Linked DNA regions of Nothobranchius furzeri. The protein of the gene in region 2 interacts with the protein of the main gene of each other region in a biochemical or structural test. Links are inferred from orthologs where the notes say so. Each region holds a gene or a part of one and is shown on either strand. Other genes may lie near its edges.

What was found.
Region 1: the proteins of upf2 (region 2) and upf3a form a complex in vitro, tested with the Homo sapiens proteins (2 studies listed by IntAct, with this or other methods). The link is inferred for Nothobranchius furzeri from reciprocal best matches to the Homo sapiens genes UPF2 and UPF3A.

Annotation. Positions count from the first base shown.
Region 1 is NC_091754.1:29,406,656-29,409,567, reverse strand, and holds the end of upf3a (regulator of nonsense transcripts 3A), read right to left. Parts: coding exon 2,842-2,912; intron 2,745-2,841; coding exon 2,689-2,744; intron 2,602-2,688; coding exon 2,443-2,601; intron 2,331-2,442; coding exon 2,197-2,330; intron 1,811-2,196; coding exon 1,504-1,810; intron 982-1,503; coding exon 793-981; 3' UTR 615-792; downstream 1-614. UniProt on the Homo sapiens protein: Involved in nonsense-mediated decay (NMD) of mRNAs containing premature stop codons by associating with the nuclear exon junction complex (EJC) and serving as link between the EJC core and NMD machinery.
Region 2 is NC_091741.1:38,128,722-38,132,546, reverse strand, and holds part of upf2 (regulator of nonsense transcripts 2), read right to left. Parts: intron 1,897-3,825; coding exon 1,792-1,896; intron 1,728-1,791; coding exon 1,629-1,727; intron 1,451-1,628; coding exon 1,277-1,450; intron 1-1,276. UniProt on the Homo sapiens protein: Involved in nonsense-mediated decay (NMD) of mRNAs containing premature stop codons by associating with the nuclear exon junction complex (EJC).

The DNA.
Region 1 (2,912 bases), on a different chromosome or scaffold from region 2:
ACTCATATAAGAGCCACACCTTCACTAACCTTCTTGTGTTGAATCACCTCCAACTGTGATTAACTCACAACCATACGGTGTCTGTTGTCACACCCAGAGAACATCCTCAATGACGGAAACACCGCAGAATTGTTTGACATCATGTATTTCTTATAAAGAAACTTACAAATGAGACGTGCAAAGTTATTATTAAGCTCGTAAAACTATTTTTTACACAATGCTATAAAACGTAGCTACCCCTAAAGCTAATTGTAAAACCTATGTGGACAACAACTGCAGTGAAACATTTGTGATAACTAGTTTTGAGTAACAGAACAAAAATGCAAACTTTTCATTATAATTATGCGTTTTCCTTACAGATTCATTGTTGATCATGTATAAAGCTGGCTGACTAAACCACAGCACTAGTAAAATATTTAGACAGAAACTTTGTTTTTCTAAATTAATTCATAGTCATCTTCTCACCTGTACACAGTAATAAAAACATATTTTACTCTTATTAACCACGTCATCGGTCTGCAACTTCCTCCAACTTTATTGTTTGTTTCATTAAAAATCTATAAAATCAAGAATGATGTTCCCATGCAGAGGATACAATCCTATCAAGGGTTGACAATTAGACTGATGCTGGCAATCAGGCAGCGAATGCTCTAATTACTATTTTAAAAATATCTTCTTTCAGTTCCTTTTTTGAAACAGAACCAATAAGCCAGTTAACCCAGTCAAACCAGATAACCTGACAAACTGTTTATTTTACTTTATACATGTATTTCCTCATTTTACCCAGAATACTCACAGCTCATCTTTGCTTTTTTCAAAGCCCCTCTCTAGTCCAGTTGTCATGGTAACAACATCATAACAACGATCCGTCCTGCATTCGGGTGAGTGGCCCACAGGGATGCAGTCATAGCCTTTACTGGCTGAGCTCATACGTTTCCTGTTGCGTGCTCCCGGCTGATACAGCTGCATGGCTGGACGGTCCTGCAAGGAAGAGAAGAGGGCAGAGATGAAACAAAGGGCATAGTTTAGATCTAAAGGCTCCACTTGGGATTGAAATCCAGATGTTTGACTACATACTTAAAGACACACAGCTGTTAAAAGTTACAATGTGTATTTTTACACATTTTTAGTGACCTAAAAACACATGTGCCACACAACAAATTCTATTATAAATTAGTAATAGAAGAAAAAAACTATGAAAAAATGTACAAAGATTATGTTAAGAACACACAGGTGAGAGTGATGGTATAATAGGATTTCAGTTATGAATAAATATACTTTTAACATTTTGTTTTTCTTGTTTAAACAGCCCATCATCATCTCCACCACACCATTCAGTGAAAGTGTGAGTGTGTGGGTGGAGGTTGTGTATGTCACAACACTAAGTGACTGACATATTTTGTTTGTAGTAAAAAAATAAATAAATAAACCTTCCGAAGCATAGTTACATGTCTGCATCATGGGATACATCAGTGACCAGCTTCCTTTTAATCTCATGCTCACCTTCTCGCTCACCTTGTTTCGGAGGCGTTCCTTCCTGTTACTCAGCTCCTCCCTGTCCTCCTTTCCCATTTTTTCTCCACTGTCAGGACAGTAGGAGTAACCGTGGTGATGGCCCTCTTTCTTGGCCCGGTCCTGGCAGTAGCCTTTCCCCCACTTGGTCTCATCTTTCCGGCGCATGAACTTATCAAACTCATAGTGGTGTCGTTGTCGTTTTCTTTCTTCATCTTTTCCTCTGTGGTCTTTGTCTCGCTGCCTGCGCCCGTGTTGCTGCTGCTCTCTCTGCTCCTTGTCGCTTTCAGGCTGACCTCTAGTGGTTACATAAAGTAGAGCATGCACTACTGAAGATAATGAATTGTTTTTCATAAAGGTACAACCACAATAATGAAATTTCCGGCTACTTAAAAAAAACGTTTACATTTTTTTCCCTTAAATGTCAAAATGAATTTCACTGTTAAATAATTTTAACTGCAGGCAATAAAGAAATATTTAATTTTCCAACAAAAGTGTCTTTTGGATGAAGAACATTGCTAAAAATTTACATTCCATATACTTTTAAATGTCAACAACCTAGAAATAAACTAATTAGAACATTTACATTTGGATTATTTTGTTGATATAATAAAAAAGAAAACAATGGCAGAAATTTCTACATGTTTTCAATGCATGTACATTGAATCATTTAGCAGGTCTTACTTCTCTTTGGGATCTTTTGACTTCATTTGTCCCACAGATTTCTCCCAATTACCCCTGTCTCCATCACCAGTATCACTTTTCTCCTTCGTTCTGTCTGAATCAATATCATCATCTCTGTCGCTTTTCTTCAGGAGCTAAATATCCCACCCCAAAAAAAAAAAAAGGAAAATTACGTTCTATTTGTGTGCAGCTGCACCATTCACACATGATAACCACATTAACAGCACTGAAAAGGAGAAGTGATACCTTAATTTTGATGTCCTTTTCTGACAGTTTCTTCTGCTTCTCTGCCTCTTTTCGCTTGCGCCTCTCTTCCTCTCGCCGCTTTCGCTTTTCTTCCTCTCGCTGCCTTTTCTTTTCGAGTTCCCTCCTTCTCCTTTCCTCTCTCTTCTCCTCTCTGATTCTCTGTTAAATGTGTGAAACATCAAAAATGAGTTTATTTTTCATGGTTTACATTTAATTGAATTTTCCTCCAACTGTTTTATTTCTTACCTGTTTTTCAATTTTCTTATTTTTGATGTATTCCAGCAGAGGTGTTGTCCTTTTGGCTGAAAGCAAACCAAGAAAAAGAAGCAATGATGTGATTTATCTTTTGGAACAACCCTAATTTAGAGGTATGATTTTGTTTTAGTAAAAACAGAGTACCTATGAGTTCTTTAGTCTTGGCTTCAATCTCTCCGAGCAGAGTCTCGGGGTTAGCCATGGACTTCTCCTCA
Region 2 (3,825 bases):
CACACACACACAGACGTTCTGTGTTCTCCACGTCTCCGACACCGGCTGATGTTTGGACTCTTTTAAAACTCAGGAGTTCTGGCAGCAGACCGGACACACCCTTCAGCACAGAAGCCGGTCTCTCCCCTCAAACCACACACTCCACCACACGGCCTCGCTGACTTTTACTGTAGATCCGAGGGTGTTATCCCCTCGTGTGTAGCTGGAATGAGGAGGGAACACCATCCGGCCTCTCCATTTTCACTCATTTACCATCATCTTCCCAAAAAATATCCTTAAAGAGCACCAAAGCAGCTGTGTCACTCAGCCTTGTGTGTGTGTGTGTGTGTGTGTGGGGGGGGGGGGGGGGGGGGATCATTATTTCCCATTTTTAGACGGATCCAAGTATCCAGATTTAAATCTTTAAAACATTAATATAATTCTTAAAGGTGGGCTCTGTGATCTTTACTGTTCTTCACCTGCTGATGTCAGCAAATAAATTAAATGATTTATCAAAAAAATGAAACGTACAATCCTGGAAAAACCTCATCCAATCACGGTGAACGTCCCTTTCTTAATGACTGGATCATGATTCAGAGTACAAGTGTGTGTGTGAATGGGTGAATGACTGTATACAAATACAGACCATTTACCATGACTCATCCATCAAACTGCTCCTCTGACCGCCCCTCCCCCATCTGCTCACAGCCGCTGAACAGGAAGCGAAGCCAGAGCCAGGCTAGCTAGATTAGCTAGCATGCTAGGTCGTTTTACTGTAATGCACATACATACATGCGTAGACGCCTCGTGGACTAGCGCTGCCTAGTGGAGCTGCTGCCCACCATTTTAAATTGGTCTCTTTTGGCCCCCCAGTGCATTCATTTCTACTGAGGGAGGTGCTTACCCAACTAAAAAACACATTTTAATAAGCTTTTTATGAGGTTTGGTGTGATAATAAAAACATAAATATAATTAAACTAAATAAATATAAATAAATGTAAATATAAAATCCCATCAAGTAGGCTAGAAAAGCCACTAGTAATCCCCTGGTTGTTCTAACTGTAGGTCGTCTCTACATCTCAGAACCAGAACTGGGTCGACTCTGCAGACGATCGTCTTACAAACCCAGAATCTGGTTTTAGCTCCACGACTCCCAGCTGTCTAGTCTGGCGGTTGATCCATTCTGAGCTGAGACATGTCCTGGTTGGTTCAGCAACTTTGGTCCCAGACTAATCGCCTGATTAAACCAGCAGAACCCAGCCGGTGTGCGTCGTGTGTATGGTTAAACTGCTCTCACCTGCTGCTTGTTGCCTTTGCGAGTTAGCATGACGAACTGCATGGTGTCAGAGATGTCAGGCTCCGCCTCCCCCATGCATGGGTGTGAGGACCCCCCCTTCTTCAACTGACTCTTCAGCTGCAGGGGGATGGCCACGTCCAGCTGGTGCACCTTCACCGCCTCGCCGCTGCGCTGCTGCGGACACGAAACACACCAATCAGAAGAGGGTTTCAGCTTCTCGTGTCTAAGAGTGACCGACTTTCCTGCGTTGTGTAAAAACGCTTCCGACTCTGTGACAGAAAAATTTATTTACAAAAGAAACAAACTATTTAGCACAATCATGTCTTCTGAAGTTAAAAACAAGATGTGGTACCTGCAGGTTCTCCAGCATCATCTTATCCAGAGCCTGAATGAAGTCTTCGTCCTCGGGACACTCCACGAGTTTCAGTCCACCCCCCCGGATGGTGACCTCCTGCGGGAGAACAGAGATTAGAACCAGGATGAGGAACTCTGGAATATCTGGGATCAGATCTTACGTTGTTCTCCTCATCCGTCTCATTTTCTTTATTAGAGTCAGTCAGGTAGTCGGTGTTCTCCTCTTCCTCCTCCTCCCGCTCTTCCTCCTCATTCTCCGATCCATCCTGTGAATTGTGCAAAGAGCTATTTTAGTAACTCGGGCTTGCTAACAGATGCATCATTAGCTTCATTATGCTAACAGGCGCTAGCAATGCTAACATTCCGCTGTCGGTAACAAACACGAGAAGAACATTTCTAGCTTTCCTTATCTTTACTTTATTTTAAGAACATACACCATAATCGGACAGGAAGTGACCAGGCTCAGGGGGTGTCACCTCTAAATCGGTCCGAGTAGAAACTCAGTGTTTCCCTTACATAGGCGTAGCCGTGGCGGGCCACCACGGCTGAAATCCCACCGCCACGCCTACAAGATCCCGTTTAATAGATTAAAAAAAAATGTTTTTTGCGCTGTTTCCCAAAGAAGCAGCGGGAACTACTCTGTTGTTGCTTGTGATCACAGCCAGCTGGTAGCAAGGAGGAGGAGGCAGGGCAGGGTGGTTACAGCTAGGGATGAGCCGGATACTCGTTCCAGACCAATATCCGGTACGGATAAAGCATTTTTGACGAATACGAGCATGAAATGAGTAAAACTCGTAAATATCTGAAATCGTGCTGAAGAAAAATTCTCATTGGGTAACTGGCTGCCTTCACGCTCTGTGATTGGCCAGTCACATGGAGCGCCCGCCCCTCCCTACACACAAAACTCTGCAGCAGTCCCAAGGAATGGGAAGACCGTATCAAAGAGGCAAACGAGGAAGCCCAGTTTGGCCCACGCACGCACGCACACACACACACACACACACACACACACACACACACACACACACAGAGACAGTAACGGATCTCTCTGTGCTTGCTACACTGTTGCTCACGTTTCTTCAGAACTCTAGGTTTTCTTCAGTTCGCCTCTTTTTCGGTTGAATATTTAAATTTACTTTTTTCGTAACGTACGTGGTGCATTTGACAAGACAGAGCGGAAAACGGCTCATGCTGCGTCGGTCACTGCCTCCGCTCCGGTCGTTTTTTTTTTTATTATTCTCTCTCTCTCTCTCCCACACCCACACCCACACCCACCCACCCACCCACCCACCCACAACACACACACACACACACACACACACACACACACACACACACACACACACACACACACACACACACACACACACACACACACACACACACACACACACACACACACACACACACACACACACGTTGGAACAAAATGTGGGTAAAAAAATTAAATTAAACCCATCAAAACACTTCCTGCTACATGATTTGAATAAAATATGCTTTTATTTTTCTAGTACTTCCTGCTTATCAGCTACTGATGACTCAGGTGCAAAGAAACCAAGTGAAGGGAAGGCCTGTTTAATAAAAGTCTGCCAAAATACACACACACACACACACACACACACACACACACACACACACACACACACACACCCTCTCATTTCTCTGACATGTGGGGAAACAGTTTTAACCTTTAGTTTTCTTTACTTTTCTGTCAGAAAACTAATAAATCAGTCTGACTGTCAGCTTTTCCAGAAGAAACCTGAAGCCTAAACACGAATGATTCTGTTTCTCTGCTGCATGAACTCATGACAAACATCCAACACACCAGTCTCACTGAGTGAACGCCCCAGCAGGTTCACACCGAGGTCAGAATTTACAGGCGTGAGGTTAAAGGTCAGGAAAAGAGGAATCACGTAGGATTTTTTTGGAAAACAAATCTCAAGAGCTAACCTCTTGCTTGTAAAGTTTTATCCGAACAAACCACAAGATTTCAGAAACAACAAGACCCAAGTAGGGTTGTTTACCCACAATGCACTGCAGCACAGACAGAAAACACTGCACAGTGGTGGTGGGGTGATGGTTTGGGCTTGTTTCAGACTCAGAGTCCACTATTGAAAAGAATGAAAGAAAGAAAACAATCTTTCATACAGCGCCTCTCAAGATAAAAATCACAAGACGCTTGATAAAAACAAAAA